4 linked regions of the Arabidopsis thaliana genome follow. The protein of the gene in region 4 interacts with the protein of the main gene of each other region in a biochemical or structural test. Each region holds a gene or a part of one and is shown on either strand. Other genes may lie near its edges.

The links.
Region 1: of the proteins of OST1 (region 4) and ABF2, one has a biochemical effect on the other in vitro, tested with the Arabidopsis thaliana proteins (3 studies listed by BioGRID).
Region 2: of the proteins of OST1 (region 4) and KUP6, one has a biochemical effect on the other in vitro, tested with the Arabidopsis thaliana proteins (one study listed by BioGRID).
Region 3: of the proteins of OST1 (region 4) and OZS1, one has a biochemical effect on the other in vitro, tested with the Arabidopsis thaliana proteins (4 studies listed by BioGRID).

What each region holds. Positions count from the first base shown.
Region 1 is NC_003070.9:17,164,609-17,169,779, reverse strand, and holds ABF2 (abscisic acid responsive elements-binding factor 2), read left to right. Parts: upstream 1-1,890; 5' UTR 1,891-2,007; intron 2,008-2,038; exon of another isoform or gene 2,039-2,298; 5' UTR 2,299-2,319; coding exon 2,320-3,438; coding exon of another isoform or gene 3,439-3,591; exon of another isoform or gene 3,592-3,710; coding exon of another isoform or gene 3,711-3,755; exon of another isoform or gene 3,756-3,997; coding exon 3,998-4,069; intron 4,070-4,149; coding exon 4,150-4,179; intron 4,180-4,285; coding exon 4,286-4,360; 3' UTR 4,361-4,622; downstream 4,623-5,171. UniProt on the Arabidopsis thaliana protein: Involved in ABA and stress responses and acts as a positive component of glucose signal transduction. Functions as a transcriptional activator in the ABA-inducible expression of rd29B.
Region 2 is NC_003070.9:26,477,200-26,483,170, forward strand, and holds KUP6 (K+ uptake permease 6), read right to left. Parts: upstream 4,432-5,971; 5' UTR 4,035-4,431; coding exon 3,999-4,034; intron 3,902-3,998; coding exon 3,406-3,901; intron 3,301-3,405; coding exon 3,247-3,300; intron 2,738-3,246; coding exon 2,424-2,737; intron 2,335-2,423; coding exon 1,956-2,334; intron 1,864-1,955; coding exon 794-1,863; 3' UTR 544-793; downstream 1-543. UniProt on the Arabidopsis thaliana protein: Probable potassium transporter.
Region 3 is NC_003070.9:4,256,768-4,261,140, forward strand, and holds OZS1 (C4-dicarboxylate transporter/malic acid transport protein), read right to left. Parts: upstream 2,534-4,373; 5' UTR 2,483-2,533; coding exon 1,976-2,482; intron 1,901-1,975; coding exon 1,089-1,900; intron 1,012-1,088; coding exon 660-1,011; 3' UTR 501-659; downstream 1-500. Other genes in the region: AT1G12470 (zinc ion binding protein), read left to right, coding at 59-175, 258-434; AT1G12490 (F-box associated ubiquitination effector family protein), read left to right, coding at 4,016-4,170, 4,199-4,373. UniProt on the Arabidopsis thaliana protein: Slow, weak voltage-dependent S-type anion efflux channel involved in maintenance of anion homeostasis.
Region 4 is NC_003075.7:16,269,771-16,275,335, reverse strand, and holds OST1 (Protein kinase superfamily protein), read right to left. Parts: upstream 3,592-5,565; 5' UTR 2,973-3,591; coding exon 2,802-2,972; intron 2,491-2,801; coding exon 2,416-2,490; intron 2,321-2,415; coding exon 2,219-2,320; intron 2,135-2,218; coding exon 2,081-2,134; intron 1,997-2,080; coding exon 1,904-1,996; intron 1,835-1,903; coding exon 1,742-1,834; intron 1,487-1,741; coding exon 1,382-1,486; intron 1,277-1,381; coding exon 1,178-1,276; intron 1,066-1,177; coding exon 867-1,065; coding exon of another isoform or gene 820-866; exon of another isoform or gene 777-819; coding exon 679-776; 3' UTR 511-678; downstream 1-510. Other genes in the region: AT4G33945 (ARM repeat superfamily protein), read right to left, coding at 4,822-4,945, 5,040-5,218, 5,437-5,544.

The sequences.
Region 1 (5,171 bases), on a different chromosome or scaffold from region 4:
CACTGTTTTTCTTTGAGTTGGAAATACGAATGGAACTTTCTAGAAAATATGGTTTCCGCAGGAGATATGAGGAATTAGAACCATCACAAGTCTTTAATATGTTCATTATCTTGAAATCTTTAGCGTTTATATGATGATATCTGTTACATTGAACTTATGTGCAGAGGTAGAGAGAACCAGTACACACTTGTGAGCAGGGCTTTAATATTCTATTAGCAACCAGTTAAAACCATTTTTTGTGTGCAAAGCAACCAGTTAAAACATAAGTATATATAATTTTGTGTTAAGAGAATATTCTTAAAGAATTTTTCCAAGCAAATTCAAAACTTATTAAACTATATGCTAGAGTCAATGATGTACTTTAGCAGAAAAAAAAAAAACACTACTATAATTAGTGAATTGAGAGTATTATTGTCCTTGTATTTAATTTTTAAACGTAAAAAATAATAAGATGGGTTTGATAATGTGAAGGTGAGCCCAACTAAAAACTAGAGACGTGGACCAATGGAAAAAAAGTAAGAAGACTCTTTGGTTTCTGACATCTTCCCCCACAAAACACAAAGTCGATGTGAAAGCAAATAATAGTGTTCGTCCACGTTACATCGACAATCAACGGCTGAGATTTGGTTTCATTATGTGTCTGTCTCATCGAGGTTGGTTCGTGTTTTTGTTTTTGTTGGTTGTGACAGTAATGGAGCGACACGTTATTTCGTTACAACTACTTTTTTCTTTTTTAAAACTTTTGTAATCAGAGGACTAAAGAAGTAAGTGGACCGATCATAAATAACAAACTCAGGTGATTGATTATTGGACCTTTGTCACTTCAGGATGGAGAAGCGTTTTCAATTCACCGGTGAAATAAAATATTAGCTGATTTTTTTAAAAAGAATTAAGGTTTTGAATGGATATTGTGGATAAATCGGATTAAAATTTGGAATTATACCAATATTTTCTTTTTTAACGAACATTTTGATTGGTAAACTTTAATCCATTTTGATATGTAAACTTTCTGAGAAGTTTTAGGACTATACCCATATATAATACCAATTTTTTATGTAAGAACTATATGAATTATTTTGTATATAGAGTTTTTTTTTCTTTTTGTTTTGTATATACCACTACAAATTATAATTTTGTGAATGATAAATAAGAAGTTGTCTAATCTACAAACCCATTTTGTTCTCCAACCACCGCAACCATGTGTACCTAAACAAATAAATATTAATTGGTTAATTAGCACAATTGTTAGAGTGAAATTATTATCTCGAATCCGATATAAAGAATTTGTCACTATTCTTTCCAAAATTTCCGATATTCAAAGTGTTGAGATCAATAGTAAAAATTTGAATCCGTCCAAATTGATTTAAATACAATTTTAAAGTTTACATACCCAAAAATCATTTGGTTTCTCTCAAAATATTTAAATATTTAGATATTACTTGGAAATCTGGGTAGTAACAATTTGGATTTGTCCAAGCAACATTTGGATCTAGATATCATAATTTCCAAGTCAACATATCCAAATTCGCCAGATATAATATTAATATATATATATATATATGTAAAATACAATATTTTCATTTCTTTTCTAGTATATAATACTTTATTTTCATAAACATAATCCAATCTTAATTTTACAATTTTAAAGACGTTTTAACATTTTAATTTATTGTGTAGATACAATGATTTTTGGACGGAATTCCAAAGTGAAAACAACTTATTTTAGGAACCTAAAGTAAATTAAAACAACATAAATCCTGAAAAGGAAAACAATTAGTAAGTGAAATTAGTAAAATAAAAACGAAGAGGGAAAGTGACGCAAAATACAAAGATACAGAGTATATACCATTTTATTAAAATAATTAGCAAAAGTAGTATTTATTCAAGATTGTTAGGAGCCAGAGAGACACTTGGCTCACCAGACAAACTACCTAATCACCCAAACGAAGAACCAAACATTTTGAAATTTTTTGGGAAAATTACAAAGCACACGAATTTAGCAAAAAGGTAATAGATTTTTCTTCTCTTTGTGTGTATAGAAGAAACTGTGGTTTTTGTTCATCTTCTTTTAATTCTTTCGATTTATGTCCACACTTAATTTTTGGATAAAATTACTAATTGTGCCTAATACTTGTCATAAACGCATTCATATTCTCCTGTTGGTTTAATCTGTTTTTATCCATTTGACTATTAAAGTTTTGAAATCTGTTAGTGTTTTTGAATTGGGTTTTGCAGATTTCTTGATTTTTATTTATAGATTAGGGTTCTGATACTAAAGTTTGGATTTTTAAACTAAAGTTTGGATTTTTTTTTGTATTCATGGTTCAGATCCAGTTATTAGGTGGAAGCAGATTTTGTAGAAAAATGGATGGTAGTATGAATTTGGGGAATGAGCCACCAGGAGATGGTGGTGGAGGTGGAGGGTTGACTAGACAAGGTTCGATATACTCGTTGACGTTTGATGAGTTTCAGAGCAGTGTAGGGAAAGATTTTGGGTCAATGAACATGGATGAGTTGTTAAAGAATATATGGAGTGCTGAAGAAACACAAGCCATGGCTAGTGGTGTGGTTCCAGTTCTTGGTGGAGGTCAAGAGGGTTTGCAGCTGCAGAGGCAAGGCTCGTTGACTCTGCCTCGAACGCTTAGTCAGAAGACGGTTGATCAAGTTTGGAAAGATCTATCCAAAGTTGGAAGTAGTGGAGTAGGGGGAAGTAACTTGTCTCAGGTGGCTCAGGCTCAGAGTCAGAGTCAGAGTCAGAGGCAGCAAACATTAGGTGAAGTAACTTTGGAGGAGTTTTTGGTTCGTGCTGGTGTTGTGAGAGAGGAAGCTCAGGTTGCTGCAAGAGCTCAGATTGCTGAGAACAATAAAGGCGGTTACTTTGGTAATGATGCCAACACAGGTTTCTCTGTCGAGTTTCAGCAGCCTTCTCCACGAGTTGTTGCCGCTGGTGTAATGGGAAATCTTGGTGCAGAGACTGCAAATTCTTTGCAGGTTCAAGGTTCTAGTTTGCCTCTGAATGTGAATGGAGCTAGAACAACATACCAGCAATCGCAACAGCAACAGCCAATCATGCCTAAGCAGCCTGGTTTTGGTTATGGAACACAAATGGGTCAGCTTAATAGTCCTGGGATAAGAGGTGGTGGTCTTGTGGGACTTGGAGATCAGTCTTTAACGAACAATGTGGGCTTTGTCCAAGGTGCTTCTGCTGCAATTCCTGGAGCTTTAGGCGTTGGTGCTGTGTCGCCTGTTACGCCATTGTCATCAGAAGGGATAGGGAAGAGTAATGGTGATTCTTCATCACTCTCTCCGTCTCCTTACATGTTTAATGGTGGTGTGAGAGGTAGAAAGAGTGGCACTGTGGAGAAAGTTGTAGAGAGAAGGCAAAGGAGAATGATAAAGAACCGAGAATCAGCTGCAAGGTCCCGGGCCAGGAAACAGGTTAATCTCTTCATCACCATCTATCTATGTACTCTTGATTGTGTTATAAGCCAAAAGATATGTAAAGTAAATTGGTTAGCTTATCTTGTAGTTAAGTTCTTTAACCACAATGAAGCGTTGAATTCAAAGCGTAAAGTGTCTTGTGTGAAGTAGTGTAGTAAACAACTAAACAGAATTATTGGGACTTGAAATCAGTACTTGTGGCTGAATGAATCTCGCAAACAAATATGAACCTTCTGGTTTTGGTGTATATACATGTTGCCCATCCGCAGATATTCACGGCAGACCAAACAATATACTGGAATGTAATTTGCTAATGTCATGAGGTGGCTCAGAGTTTAAATGAGTAGTGAGGGTTCATCGTCAAAACCTGAGTAGTGGCGACATGGTTTTTCTTTTGGGGCAAGGTAATGGGTAATTGGTGCTCCCAAAAACCTGTTACATCTGACATGTACTATGACCAAACTGTTGAGTTCTACATTTGAGGGTCTAAATGTTTTGAATGGCACTCTAGTCTTTATCTCATAAGCTTCTCAGTCGTGCTTGTTTTGGTTCATAGGCTTACACCGTGGAGCTTGAAGCTGAAGTTGCAAAGTTAAAGGAAGAGAATGACGAGTTACAACGAAAGCAGGTAATCACAAAACCATGTCTCAGCATCACAGTTGCTCATACGTTACATTCATTTCTCATTGTACGCCTCATGTTTTACAGGCAAGGATCATGGAAATGCAAAAGAATCAGGTAATAATTCTTATGCCAATGCAACAACACTGGAATCTCTAAACTGCACATTTCATAGCTGAACTTGTAAACTTGGTTGTTTGTTTCCGTGCTATGTATAAAACAGGAGACGGAGATGAGGAATCTTCTGCAAGGAGGTCCAAAGAAAAAGCTGAGGAGGACAGAGTCGGGACCTTGGTGAATCAATCAATGCCATCATACTTAGTTTCTGTAGATAAATGACATCCCACTTAGGTGTTTTAGTTGAATTAGACTTAATAGAGAAGAGCTTTCATCGTTTATATTGTAAGCTCTCTCCATATATGTTATGTTTTTTACATACACAGGATCATCAGAATCTCTTTTGCTTTATTTAGACCAAGAATTTTGTGTGTGTTTCTCGTTGTTGTTTGTCGTTGTCGCTATTAAACCTCAAAATGTACTTTCTTGATCTTGGAGTTACCAATTTTGAAGAATTGAAGTGTTGTTTGGTTTCTCTGAGTGCCAAAACTATGACCTGTGCCAACACAGCATTCTAGCCTTCTAGGCAAGCGACTATAACCCAAACCGAACCGAACCTTGGTCATTTCGGACGGATGAGGTAACCGAGTCGGTTTGATGTGGTTCACTGAACCGACAGTTACACAAAGTAAACATTTGTACTGAAATTTATGTATGTATCAAAGTAAAATTCCTCTAAATTCGATAACCAAACCAAACGGGATTAATCATTTGCATGGAGAATAAATACATAACCGAACCAATTTAACCGATGACCGAATCGAACCAAAACCGACTTATTCGGTTTGATTTTTTAGTTACTAAAAATGAAAGTGTTCACTCTCATTCTCTCCCACTTCGTCGCTCAAATTCTCCCTAATTTCACCTGCAAAACCCTAGTTTTTCGTTGATTCGTTTCGTCTCCGGTGTAAAATCAAATACTATCTTTAGGTATTTCGTCTTACCCAACTCTATCTTTCCATGTTTTCCGAGGACAAAATAAAAGGTTAATT
Region 2 (5,971 bases), on a different chromosome or scaffold from region 4:
GTCACAACCACAAGTAATAAGTAAATTATCAAAACTGTATATTCTTGTATAAGACTTCTGAGTTTACGTTTCGAACACAATGTCTGCAAATTATAATATTTCATACACGACAAGAAAATTCATGACGTAAAGAAGATAACTAGGGACACATAAAAAAGAATATACTACTTATTAGATAAATCATACAAAAACTCATACAATGAGATTGCTTAAATAGTTTCATTTATAAAAAAAAAGCAAGACTGAATTTGAGTCAGAAAAATTAATAATATAAACGAAAGAGAAAGGATAACTAAAATTTAGAGAAGCACGTGGTTTCAGTTTTAAAACATTTGAGCTGTTATTTGAGTAATATTATCCAAAGTCAGATCGCTTTCAGACAAATTAATACCAGTCCAACATTGACAGCTCGACGAATGGATTTTCATCTTCGGATTTGGTCCGGTCTGGCTAAATCTGATTAGCTTAACCGGTTTTAACTTTTTCGAAATTTTGTTTTGATGGCCCATTAGTAGCCCACCATGCTCCATACAACCTCATGGACTATTTTTTGCTTTAAAATGGGACAATGTAATCACAAACATATTGTAAACATGATTCACATATATCATTTGTACACAAGTTTGAACTCTATATTTGGCTCTAAGGGAGGATTCTTGAGCTATAAACTCTAACAACCTTTAGCAAAACCTCCACAGAACAAAATTTCTTTAGCTATATCTAATTCATTTTTTTTTTTTTGGCAAATTAAACCACAACAAAAGCATTTACAAAAAGACCAAAATACCCCCCTTTAGACATTATAGATCATACCGACTTCTAAAGTAGAAGCGTGAGGCGAGGTAAGCATGTTTCTAGGACCTCTAGTGTTCCTCCTAAGAAACTCGTAGCCAATGTTAATGGCGAGTCTCTTGAGTAATCCTGATCCTGGCTTCGCTTTCATATAAGCGTTTCCCATTATATAAGCCACGCCTCCCTCTCGTGCCTCTGTTAGCTCCATTAACTCTTGCCTAGTTTCCTTTTCTATCTTTGGAGTCTCCGGGACAACAAACCTCACTCTCTTTTTGACCTTACTCTTACTCTTTTTCTTTGGTTTTGGTGATCGAATCTCTGACGTCCCTGGTTTATCAGGGTCATCAATATCGCTTTCGTAGTGATCCTCAATTCCTTGCATGTATGTGGAACAAGTACCTACTACTGACATTCTATCATCATCCTCTCCGTTGGTCTCTGCAGCGGTGGCGGCGGTTTCAGCTTCAGTACGGATAAACTCGGCAATGCTACATACAAGATCGCCTTCAAACTCGAAATCGTCTTTGTGGACATCACGGTACCCGAACCGGACAATGCAACGGTATATGCGGAACTCTTTTGGCCCGATGCGTCCTACTAGAAACCGTTCCTGAGGACGAACATGCGGAACCGGAACAGATTTGACACAGAGGAAGACGAGAACCTGGTGGAAGGCAGGGAGGTTGGTGACAAAATGAGAGAATATCGCGGGGACACCAGAGACGAGCTCGGTGTGGATGAGTCCAAGGCCACGGACACGTGCGATCCCGAGGGTTTGACTAAGACTGAGGAGCCAGTTGACCGAGACTTTGTTTTGCACATCGTACTCATAGCGCTTGAGTGTTCCGTAGTGCCAAGTACACATCGCGAGAAGGAAGCAAAAAGCGAGGGCGATTGGAACCCATGCGCCTTCGAGGAATTTGATTAAGGAAGCAGAGAAGTAGAGAGATTCGATTGTGCCGAAGAATACAACGAATACGATTGCAAAGATGACACTCTTGTGCCAGCAAAGTACAATCACTAGTGACATTAAGCATGTTGTCACCAGCATAACAGTTATAACCGCCAATCCTATTAAAAAAACATTATCAACGGTTAGTTAGTTAGCAACGGTACCTGAAGTAGTAACCAAACTAAAATGAAATGATTTCAGTTATAAATACCTGAAGCATTACCCAACCGCTTGGTGTCTCTGAAGCCAATGGTGACAGCTAAACAGAGAACCATCAAGATCCAATTGATCTCAGGGATGTAAATCTGACCGTGGATTTTGGATGACGTATGAACAATCTTCACTTTAGGGAAGCATCCCAATGCAGAGCATTGTTTGATGATCGAGAATGTTCCTGTGATGATTGCTTGACTTCCAACTACAGCAGCGAGTATAGCGATCACAAGAACTGGCCATCTTAATCTTTCTGGTACCGATACATAAAACCCGATATTGTATTCGCTTTCAATAATATGATGCTGAGAGAGATAAGCTGCTTGTCCCATGTAGGCGAGTATCAAGGACGGGTAAACAAGTGACGTAAAAGCAATCTGTAACAAGAGGACAATAGAGAATGTTAAGAAGGAAAATGGAGAACAAATGTTAAGAAGAAATAGAGAAGAGAAGAAGTCTATAAGACCTTGATTGAGAGTTGAGAAAAATGTCCTAGATCCGCAAACATTGCTTCGGAACCTGTAATGCAGAGTAAGATACCACCAAGAGACATCCAGCCTCTACTTTGAGTTTTCTTGAGGAACTTGTACATGTAATAAGGAGAAAGTGCTTGGTACACATGCGGGTTCCAATGGAAAATGTTGTAAACACCGATGGCGCTGATACACATTAGCCACAACAGAATCACCGGGGCGAACAAGAACCCGACCCTGTGTGTACCGTAGTGCTGAAGTGCAAACAAACCTATCAGAATTACACAAGCAGCAGGGAGTTCTATATCTGCATAAACAAAACAAAAAGCCAAAGAAAAAAGTTTCAGACACAATCACAATAACCTTATTATGAGGCAAAAGGTCAAAACTTTAACATCTACGAGACTTGTTGAACATGACAGTTGCAGATTGAAACTCAATAATAAAGTAAAATGTTACACAAAGATCCAATAATGAACTACTAGTTTTGGTATAGATATCCACTTGATGTCTAGAGAAGACTCCAAACACCTATTCAATAACGTGGGCCATCAAATTAAGGAACCGAAAGCGATATAGATAATCCTGATATCGTGATGGCGCCACGATATTTAATTCGTGTTACGTGCAAACTCTATCAAGCAATCAAATAAACAGATGGTGGGAACAACGGGCTCCACAGTTAAGAAAAAAAACCCGACGACTTCAGGATGATTCTAGGACCCAAGCTTGTGAGAAAACTAGACTCAATCTATGACCACAATCACCATGAACTAGGCCTAGGAAACTAATCAAGAATAGTGAGAAAAAACTCACACTTGTGATGCTCCTTAGACATTGAAAGCTCAACACCAGATACTGCAGAAAAAACTGTAATAGACAAAAGAAATGAACAGTGATAAGTAAAACAAATCAATGATCTTGTCTTTGACATGAAACAAAGAGAAAAGTCAAAGATATTTTTGTTGACTAAACCTGAAATAGCAGGCGTGAGAACACCATCACCAATAACCATACAAGTCCCAATCAAAGCAAGAACAAGCAAAATCTTCTGCAAAACTCCATGTTTCTCAAGAGTAGATTTCAAACTCGCTGCAAAACCAGATTGAGGCATCGAAGACGAACCAATTGAATCAGTCTTATACTCAATAAGCTGCTCATCAGCCAATTGACAACTCGGTAACGAGTTGACTCGTGCGTGTCGACATAAAAGCGAGTAAAGAGCAAAAGTGCCTCCTTCACCATTATCATCTGCTCTAAGAACTATGAAAACGTATTTAAGAAGAGGGACAAGAGTGATTGTCCAAAAGATGAAAGACAAAACACCAAAGATCTCTTCGTTGGATTCAGAGTGATGAATGTCTTCAGCGAATGTGCTTTTGTATACATATAGAGGTGAAATACTCAAGTCTCCGTATACAACACCTAAGCTTTGATACGCTAATGTTAATACTGTTCTCCATGATTCCTTCTGCAATCAACAAAATCAGATATCGATGATTACGAGGAAAGAGAAGAGAGTTTTCGTAAAGGTAAGAACTTTGTGATCAAATCTGATGATGACTTACCTTGGCGTTTTGATAACTTCCTGATTCGATTTCCATGGTGGGCTTTTGTGAAAAGTTAAGAATTTGAGAAACCCATGATTCAAATCTTACCACTGGAAAGTGAAGAGTTGAGAAACAGAGAATGGTTTGAGAAAGAAAGAAAAAGTTTGGAACTTTAGAATCTGTTTGATTGGTAAATGCGAGAAGATTCGAGAAAAACGTGAAAGGAGCAAACACGTAGAAGGATATTTGCGTATGGGTTTCTGGATTTGGAGTTTTGGACGACAAAGTTGAGATTTTTAAGAAGAAAGAGAGCGACTTTTTATTTTTTTGTTTTTTTTGTAATTTGGGTTAACCAGATTTTGAAGTTGCTTACTTGTGAGAAAGAGAGGTTTTGTTTCGGCTTTTGAGGAGATACAAAGAGACGTTTTTTGTTTTTTTGTTTTTAATTTATAATCAGAGATATAATTTAATTTACATATATAGAGTTTACTGAAACAGATTAGGTCTGAGATTAGTCAACTAAATCTTCAGATGCTAAGAATTTTCTTAATTTTAGTAATTACTATTTAATACAATATTTTTTTGTAATTATGAGGAAAGTTAAAATGTCAAAGTGAGAGTGAAAAAGGAAATGAAAAGTGTGGCTTTTGATAAGTGGGATGTTGATTCATATAATTCAAGCTTTCTATAAAGTGATTATCAAAATACTATACTAATTATGTTCATATTTGAAGACAAATTCTAAAGCTAGAGAAAAGATGAAGGACTGTAATTATATTTGCCTATTTGGCTATATTTAGTCAAAGCAATCTTTACCTTTGTTTTTCTTTACCTTTTTTTATATCCCCATCTTTATTCATTTACTTGCATTATATTGTTTGAATTTAATGTAACTAAATTGTTTAAGATATGTGGTTTAAAGTGATACTAAAATAAACTTAATATTTGGCATCTATGTTTTAAAAGGAAAACAATATGGTTAAGGAAAACAAAAGCGAAAGTACATAATCTACATATTTAAACAAGGTAATTCGAATGTAAAAATAAAAAATGCAGTAAAATCTGGAGATTTTATGATTACTGAAAAATTTTGAGTTCAAGCTATTAGAGTTCGACAAATGTTTTTTGATTCACTTTTCAAAAATAAAGTGATTTACGATATCATAAAGATTGAAAATTGAAAATTTTGTCCTTTGATCGAAGTCAAAGTTTTCAACATCCATGATTCAAAAAAAAAATCTTTCTTAAATGCTTCAAATATTGGTTTATGTTTTCAATGGTTCAAAAATTGTTGGCGACTTGTTTTAACAATTAAACTTATTTTCTTCTGATTGCTCCATTCAAAACAAAAGCAATTGAGCGAATGAAAAAGCATGAAACTTTTGAGTTAACATTCAAGCTACCTAATCTCAACAACTATAATTTTTGTTTAGTTTATCTTATGACATTTCTTTAAATGAGAAATGTAAACCCTTGACCAAATTTTAAAAACAAATGTAAGTCTCACTTATTTAATATACCAAGTTACTAATATTTATGCTCCACGGCATTTATTCGTTTCTTAGCACGAGTTGGTTTTAAATATGAACTTAATACAATAAGTTATCGAAAATGTAATATTATATTTACCAAACATATATTATAGGATTATCCAAAACACCCATGCGTTTCTATTTCTAGCAGCCATCCTTATTTTATTTTATCAATAATATATCTATTTGCTTTTAGCTTCGATGGTGGAATCTATAACAGAATAATTCCTCTTGGTGACCACTTTTTTGGGTAATGGGTATTACTCCATTTAAGAAATATATAAATGAAAAAAATATGGCCATTTGAGGTTTTATGTGGAGAGGGTGATCGAAAGGCCGACACATATATGATGTTATGGGTCCTCTCTTATTTGATCATTTACATTTGTTCCATTTTCGTGTAACGAAAACTGCCAAAATTAAGCTGACGGCATTTATATGCGGCACAATTATGCGTCT
Region 3 (4,373 bases), on a different chromosome or scaffold from region 4:
AATATTTGTTCGTTATTGTGATTCCATTTTTTGATTGGTTTTCCCAAAATCTGTCTAGGCCGAGCATATACTCGATCTGCAGAAGCAACTGACATTGCTTGGAAGCGAAACCCGGAGGGATATAAATGGTAACCGATCTGATGAACCCATAACAAGCACAACAACTGCAGACAAGGTAGGGACATTTTCTTTTCCTTTTTTAATCTTTTCTTTAACATTTTTCTGTGACCTGACATATTTTCTTTACGGTGAGGCAGCTTCGATCAGAGCTAGATGATGCTATTGCCAGCGAATGCCCGTTCTGTGGAGAATTAATGATCAATGAGATCACTCTGCCTTTTATTAAACCTGAGGATTCACAGTATTCTACTTCATGGGACCTCCGATCAGAGACCAACTTAGCAAACCAGAGGACCATTTCTTTGCCTGTTTGATTCATGTCAAACCGTGAATTCTTTCTTGTGTGATCTCTTCTTCAGCTAGCTTTGAAATGTGAATGTGATTTTTGGGTTCTGTATTATTGATGTAGTATTACTATTAAACATGCTTCTGGAGATACATACAATATGCTATCTCACCTACTTTTGTCTCTATATCTAAGTGTTTTTCTGAACTATTATTTCGATCTAAAAGATACTTCTGTATTCCATGATTTTACATCAGTGATGCGACTCTTCCTCTGCTTCAAAATCTTTTTCTGCAGATATTTTCTTCGCCAGAGCCTGCTTGGTCCAGCGCTTCAAGTCATAAGCTCTTTTAAAAGGCTTCTTCTCCCTGGTAAGTTTCCTCTTTGTAATGGCAATTGCAAGATCGTTTGGGAACAACGTTTGCCAGACAAAGGCGTGGAGAAGCGTGGAGACAAACAAAACGCAGACCATCGCTGTGGAAATGAAGGAAAGAGTGAGTGCTAGAGCCCGGCTCGGGTAACCAGGTACTGCCTCTGCATACTTTATTGTTGCTACGGATGCTGTTGTCATAGGAAAAGTATATGACCACCACGCCACTGAGAACCTGCAAAACCCCGTAGCCACTTAGTATCATCAACATATATCTTCAACCAAGAATATTTAAACCCGAGATGGACTTACTTAAATCCAGTGAAGAAATTGATCCGAGCAACTAGGGATATGTATAGGAAGAGTGCAATGAAGAAGCAAGTTCTTGAACATCCGTCGAATTGGCCATATATCGTGTTCCAAGCAATACTTGCTGCTGATGGGGCAGCAATGAACATAGAGTAAACAGGATGAAGCTCTTTAGGAAGAGCTTCACTGGTGGGAAGTCTCTGATAAAGTGTTACAAACACAACCAAGTAATGTGCAAAACCTACTGCCCATAGAAACTTAGCTACTTCATCCCATCCAACTTTTGAAGCTAAGATGGCCCCGACGAAATTCCCTACAACAGAAAGATGAGAAGATGGGTTTGCGACTTTGCATAGTCGCCTCTTCCCTCCCGAAAGCCATTGCCCGTAGATCTTTAGCTCGAGGAAGAAATAAGGACCCATGAAAACACACCAAATGGCGGGATGGAGGTATTTTCGGTTTGGTGAGAACATGGGAGGTACGCTAATGGCTAGGAACATGCAAACCACCCAAGGAGCGAAGAAGAAGTTGACTCGAACAGGATGAAAATACTCTCTTTTGACAGCTTCAAAGTAGAAGATGCATTTGAGTATGTAAGTGAAGGACACAGAGACTAAAACTACCAGTGAAAATAGCCATACAACTAAGTTAATCAATGGTGTGATGTGTAAAAAGTTTGTTGCAGGACTTTTCGCTAGGGCAAGCCACAAGACAGCTTGACTGCTAAGTCCCAAACAGATACCGAAGCATCCAATTGGGAACCTTAGGAGAAACGGCCATTGCTCCTCTTTTGGAAGCAGAATATCTTCATTGTCCTGCAAGAGAGTACAATTGGAACTAACTGATAATTAAGTTTTGAAGAGAGAAAGAGAAAGAAGAAGAGTTGTTACCTTGACTTCATCCAATTCAGGTCCTCTAAGAGCAGCAAAGTATCTTCCTGCAGAAACATTTTCATTTATAGAATCATCTTTGGTCTCACCATCTTCAGTTCTTAAAGAATTCTCAATGTCTCTCTCCCTTATTATAGAAGGCAATAAAGACTTTTGTTTGCTGAGCGTTGATTTAGTCCTAAACATACTAAAATCTGTTTTCCGACCATCTCCACCGTTGATGATTCCACCTGATTCAAACCCGCCAAAGCTACGACCACTCCTCGGTAAACTCTTTTTGTCATCTCTTTCTCTAGATTCTCTGTTGAGCACTGAGAAACCTGTCTCTAGCGAAACCTGTCTGCTAAAACCTCTGAATGGTCTTTGTTTCCCTCGGTTTGGTCCTCTGTTTCCAGAGAATCTCTTGTTGTTGTTGTTCTCTTGCTGTTGCAGTTCTTGCTCTGCTTCATCTTCAACTTCATTGATGTCGGCGAAAGTGGAATGAGCATTTGACTGTTTCCTCTCCATTGATCAGAGCAATTTGATAATTTGAAACACAAGAGAAGATATTTTTCTTCTAGTATGGAAAGGAAACATGTTAATGTATATAGAAAGATGCAATGGACTAAGTTAAAAAAAGCAAAGTTTGTGGTTAAGGGGCACGAGAAAGCTTGGTGAATGGTGTGAGTTAATGCGTATGTGAACCAAAACTTTCCTGGAAAGTTTCTTAGGTTTCTCGTGAAAGCTTTTCGATCCAAACTACTTGGAAAAGGTGAGAGACGATGAAAAAAAAAAAAAAAAAAAGGCCGTTCCATTAGTCACGAGATTCAAATGCAACCAAAGTCAATTTGCTCTTTTCTATACAAAACATAATTTGAGTCGTTAATTCGATTTCTGTTAGCTCCTCTTGTTTGGTTAAAACTTATAAACTTAACATATAATACTAACATTTTGGAAAAAGGGGTCGAAAGATTAAAGCAACCAAACATATGTGCAGAAATATGAATGGCATATATTCTTCTTCTTTGTAAGAGATTTTTCTATGAATTTCGTTCCAAAATGCTTTACGTTTTCCCTTTATCCAAACAAAAAACTTTGATCAATGAACTCAAAATAATACAAAAGTGATATAATAAATCATCAAATAGCCTCGCATGGATTAGGAGTCATAGGACCATAAGACAAACTCACATAAGCCGTGATTATTTTCACAACTTCTTGAATAATATGATACAATCTATAATTTATAATTTATAATGTTTGTTTATGAATCAGGTTTAAAACAATATTCGGACTGTTGATTAATAAAAAATTACAAATATAAGCTAAGCTTGAGATCGAACCCTCACACATTGAAGGTAGATTGCCACAGAGATGACCACTATACCGCCACAAGTTTTGTAAGAGTAACGCCCCTAAGTTGTTCTAAACCTTGGCATTTATAGCCTGTAGTTTTTGTTTTTATAGTAAACAAAAAGTTGTAATGTAACCTTACTTCATATAGCTCTAACAATATATGAGTGTTGTGAAATGGGAATACTTATGGGATTAGATTGTTAACCATATATATAAGGTTTGAGATCATTAGGGTGTGTTTACAAAATCTATATTCTTGCAATACCTAATGTTTTCAAAACCCACAACATTAGTGAAGAATTATTGCATGAATCTCTTAGACTTGCAAAGTAGATTCTTATTTAGCGTTCGTGGCTTTTTGGTTCGACATTATTGGAAGCAACCGGAAAGCAGGCAGACCCAGTCAGAATAGTGGTGGGTCCCACGATGTGTCGAATAATATATATCTGATCCTGAAGACAAGATCATGACCGTCGGTTTAAAACACGTAATTGGGTTCCAAGGCTTTATGAAAACCCTAGAAGTAAAAGGGAAAACCGAAAAACAGAGAGATAGGGTTCAAAGCGGTTAGGAAGATCCTTTTTCCTTAAGGAAAAGGAAATCAAGGATAAAGAAGAATTATTCTTTTCCTGGTTATAAATAAGCAAGCCCCTGTTCAACAAAACAATCACAAAAAGAATGTCAAAAAAGCAACGCTGCTTGAGGATGGAATCGCTGCCCCACGAGGTCGTAGAGCGCATCCTAGAGAAGACTTGCTGTGGATTCTCTGCTGAGATTCACGGCTGTATCGAAACAATGGAAATCATCGATCGAATCTCCATTCTTCCAACAAAGACAATTGACACAGCGTCAGCAATCAGGTGATCCAGCTCTTCTCATGGTCTCCAGAAGTCGTGAGGATTATTTTAACCCGGATTTAAAACATCTAACTACACTGGTGTTGGGTTCATCATCATCGGTCACCATCCCTACACCTTGGGAGAAGGACAAGGAGAAGGAGAAGGAGAAGGAGAAGGAGGACGAAGAATTCTTCTTAGTTTCTTTTGATAGCTGTGACGGTCTC
Region 4 (5,565 bases):
AGTAGGAATAATATTAATTTCAATGAACAAGAACAACTATCAAGTACTGGTTCATTATCAATTTATTATTCGAAAAATATTTAGAAAAGAAAAAAAACGAAGATGCGTGAATAAGCATCTTTTTTAATTTAAAGCGAATTACCGTACGTATGTCCTTCTGAACATATAACATGCATATTAAATTATTAATGAATGTGTTCCATCTACATTTATGCTGTTTTTGTATTTTTTGTGAAAATGGGAATATCATCTTATTTCCATATAGTTCAAGTCTTCAAGATATGCCCCATCTATTTACTTCAGTTTGATATTATCAAGTACCCACTTTAATCTGTATAGTACTACAGAATATCGATTTCTTTATCTTTTGCATAGCCTATATGTTGTTTAGTTGTCAACTTCTCCAAATTAGTTTAACAATTTTGTTTCTAGTATTATTAGAAAAACAAACAAAAAATACTAGAGAGAGTAGATAAAATACTGATTGATGAAAATGTTTTTTTTTTTTTTTTTCACTTTTGTTTAGAAATTTAGTCTTTTGCATATCAAAGATTCAAAGTGTACTCATTGAGACAAAGTTGGGCCAACTCAATAGCAAGCAAAACATCTTAATCTTATTCTTCAACATTTTTTGTTTGACATTTTTGTAGCAGAAACCATGCAAATAGATATATAGTATCACATTGCGTACACAATCTCTCCGCTACTGTCGATGTCAAGATCATCAAGGTCGCTCTCTAAGTCTTCCTCCATATCGTCATCTATGTCCAAGCTTCCTGTTTATCCATTAATGATAAGTTTTTCAAACATTGAGAAGCATTAAAAAAGACAAGAAATCGAAAAGTTTATGTTTTGTGTTGTCTCACCTGTGAGGTAATGGTTCAGATTCTGAGTGCCTGCAGGAGGAACAGTTGCTTCTGCAATGATCTGCATAATTTCTTCTATGCTTTGGCCCGGTTGATCCGATTCATCAAACTGAGTGGTCATCGTGTTATCGTTCATTAGATCTGCCGGTAGATTCTTTAGAAACCATTCATGGTTCCTTATTTCAGGAATTGATATCCTCTGCCAAGAAACCAACCAAGAGGGCCAAAATGCAAAGTTCTCTTTTCAGTCATACTATAAAGAAAATTCACAAATAAATCAACAAATGCAGCTTTCATGATCCTTCCTTTACCTTTGCAGGGTCAGCAACAAATATTCTGGAGATCAAATGGCGACATTCAGGAGATATGTGAACATAATCCGGAATAGCATACTGAACATTCAGGATTCTCTGAGCAAATATTTTCACAAGAGAACAGATAGTTTAGCTAGCAAGTAATAAAATCCATAATTACATTTTTCAACTATTGAAGCATGAAGAAAGTGAAAGGCTCACATGTATAGTTTTCCTGAAATTCTTTGGTTCCTCGGGATCTTCGAAAGGATATGCTCCAACCAGCATGACATACAGAGTAACCCCACAAGACCAAACATCTGCAACCTGAAAAAAAAGAAGAACATTAGGATGCATTTGACTAATTCAACCAAAACTCAAGAATTATCAGTTTACAAATCAGACTCTTAATAGCTTTCTTCACCAAAATTCTTGAAGAGCCAAGATTGTTTTATTTGTGTGAGCTTTCATCAAGAGAAAGCATGTTTCCCCTATCTATAATCAGAGGATAAAAATACAAAGATTGTTCTTTCTATAAGATATGGTTATCATACTAGTTTGGGAACTATGAAAATGGAGTACCTTTCCATCATATTCTTTCTTTAGTAAAACCTCAGGAGCGATGTAAGCAGGAGTTCCAACAGTTGATTTTGGTTGCGAATGTAACACTGATGACTGAAAAAGAAAACACAAAGCTTAGAGATACTAACTAACTCAGAGTTTCTGAAATGTTTTCAAAGATACCTTAGAATATCCGAAATCACATATCTTTAGACGAGGGGCCGGGCTACCATCTAATAACGTATTCTCGAGCTTTAAGTCTCGGTGACATACTTGCTACAACATAAAATTTAACTTCTTAAGTCAGCTGAATTTCACAGAGGATGAAGCATTGATTTGATAGAGAGCATTTTTCATTACCATAGCATGACAGTAACTAACTCCTGAAATGAGTTGCTGGAAGAAAAACCTCGCCTACATGATAGTAAACGATATATTAGCCTCAGCATTTTGAATCTTCGATTAATCATCAAAGCAAGAAAAAAAAGAGAGAACAACCTCGTCTTCGCTGAAGCGGCCTGCATTGCAGATTCGCTCGAAAAGTTCTCCTCCAGATGCATATTCCATAACAATGGCTAAATGGGTTGGTGTTAATATAACCTGAAGCAATCCTAAGGATTAAATTATAGAATTCCTTTTTTTTCCTGAAAATGTTAATAATAAGAAAACAGCTTAAAAGAGAGTTGAAAACAAACCTCTTTGAATCTAACGATATTGGGATGTCTTAAGGACCTGTGGTTGATTATCTCCCTTTTTACATTTTCATCTATCTGTACAAATACAAAAAGTCCCACCATTAATACCACGTTCCATAACAAAAGAAACACCTAGAGCCTTTAAAACAACACTATACAACATAAGTCATAAAGCAAAGCAGAGCAAATTTGGTCTTCCATAAAAATCAATCAATTTTGTAAATCTATAGGGTTAAACCATTCATAACCATAAAGTAACCAAACACACATCTCTCATTGGATGATGAACACACAAAAATGATTTCTTTTGAATTCAAGAACCTAGTGAATTGAAACATAAAATAAAATTGGACTAAGGAGAAAAAACAAGAAGAAAATAAACTGACCTTCTCACCTCTCTCGATATATTTAACAGCAACAAGCTCATTACTTTGCTTGTCTCTCATCAATCTCGCAACTCCAAAATTACCGGAGCCAATATCCTTGACGAGTTCATACCTATCACTATCGTGCATAATCGGCAAATCCATTGGACCACTCACTGCTGGTCGATCCATTTTCTCCCCCTCTTTCCTCTGTCTCTTTGCGACTTCAATCTCTGTGTCAAGAAGATTTCTTTTTTGGGAGACAATATCTAACGACACCAAGACATCAGAGGAAATGAACAACGGTGTGACGTGGATGAATTTGAGCCTTTAAGATGAGAAAAGGAGTATTGGGTGATCAAGTTATGGTTGTGAGAAAGAGACGTTTTCAGAGACCCGTGAAGTATCTAACCAACAACACAAGTGGGTTTCTTGAGATCCTTTTTGTTCCTTTGATCGCTCTCGATGAAGAAGAAGAAGAAGAAGGAAGGCTCGTGATCTTGAACTCTGTTTCTCTCTCTCTGTCTCTCTCTCTATCAGCTTTCCTTTTCTCTGTCAATATAAAAAGGAAACAGCTTTCTCTGTTCTGTTTAAACCACAGCTTGAAGTAAGCTATACAAAACAGAAAGATGAGAGAGATAGAAGAAGTTTTCGCTTTTTCTGTGAACTGTTGAATTGTGATTTGTCAAAGCATGGGAGATAGTTTGAAATGACGGATTTACCCTTTCTACTTACAACGTTCTGACAAACAATGGGGCCTGTAGTTTTTAGAAATGTTTTTTTTTACCGTGACTAGTATAGAAAATAATATTTTAATTAGTATAAACTTTCTTTTTATTGGCAAAGTATTAGTATAAACTATGTGATTTGTTACTCTTTATTTTTCAGTAAGTTTTATCTCTCCATAATATTATGCATTAATTTTTTCCGATTTATTATATGTCTTATTGTAAATAGTATAGCAAAAAATATGAAAATATTAATTGATTAAATTTATGCCTAGAACAGTTACTAAAAATATCTAAGTTTTCAAAAATATAGCACTAGAATGGTATGAGATTTAAAATAACAGATTTTGAATTGATTTTATATCCCAATTTAATTTAATCAAACACAGTGAAAAATGAAATAGAAATAATTTAAATTAACAATTAGTTTTTCTGTTAGTGGATCTATATATTAATATCGTAATATGTCCCTTACATATGTACATTTTTGGCTACTGGATTAATTTTGCCCCTTAAATATGTCCTGAAACGGAGCTGATGAAACATATACTCGCATTAAACAAGCTTATGGCTAATCATGGGAACCTCCATGTATTAATGACCACTAAAAAGATTTACTTTCTATTTCGGTATATAAAAAGGGTTTCCGCATTTAAAAACGGAAAATAAAAGAAAAACAAGTTACCACAAATGTCGAGATATTGTTGGCTAGCTTGTCAGATCTTCACCTAAAAGCTGAAACCGATAGAGTTGCACTCATCATCACTATAGCCCATCATTTTTACTATCTAAAGTTTTTGTTTATGCGCATCCACATGACGATTTTGCTGCAAACTTTTTTTTTAATCATCTTTTAAAAACATATATCCGTACTTAATATTCCCAATACACTCTTCTAGAGCTCGATCATTCCATGGACGTGAACATTTTGTCTTTGTTTCTCTTCCCTTTAGTCAAACAAACATTTTGTCCTTGTTTCAAACTAAAATCGATTTCTTCTAAATAAAGGAAATTCATTGACTAAACGAATGATTTTAGTGAATGAATGAAAATTTCTCATTGTGAAGCCTCTGTTTCTCTATTTACTTTTTTACTATTTAGAGTACCTTTCACCGAAATTTTCAATCAATTCCTTTCAATTTTACTACATGTTCAAGCATTCGAACAAAAGCAATCGTTGCAAAAAAGACTAGATCGGAATGCCTTCTACCCAAAAGAGAGAACTCAATGCAAACTGTTTATGAAATTTTTGAAAAAAAAAACTGGATTCATTCCGGTTGTTGCGAGTACCAACCAATGGAGAAAGATTGACCTTAGTTATTGTAGTTATCAAGGCCAAGGTCTCTCAGTGCATCAGTTGCAGCGGCTCTGCATGTCTCATTGTTGGCTTTAGCAGTTCTTATCAGCTTCTCGATTCCATTAGCAAGCAGAATAGTTCTGTAGTGTGCATGCAGACAGAACTTGATATTATAAAAGAGTTTGCGATATGTGCATATTGTTGGATGACAAGAATTGGAAACAGAGCAAAAACCTGTTCTCTGCACTTCTGACAGCAATGTTCCGTATCATGTTGCAAGCGTTTCTCTGCATTTGAGCAGCTACTGGGAACCTCTTCATTGCTTGGACCGCTAGATCACCAGCTCCAGCTTCTATAGCCTTGGCTGCGTGGTCTGGTGATCTCAGACAGATTATAGAGATTATCAACATCACCTGAACCAATCAAGTATATCTTGGATCAACCACAAGGATTATGCACTCAGACCCTAATGCTACAAGAAACATTCTTCACACGACATTACGTTCTATCTAGTGGAAAACTGCCAAAGACGTGACCTGTAGTCACAAGTATCTTCTCTAGACAGGAAGATTTAAAATTGCGCATGGGACATAGTGTCATAAGAGGGTTTTCGTTTGGTTTATATACTTACCTCTTGTATGACTAGAGGATCATCAGAGAATCGTAGTGCGAGTGTGATTAGCTTGTCCAGACCTTGCTTCTCAACTATGGTACTCTTGTTAGAGTCACTTCCTGCCAACTAGAGATCAAAATACAAATT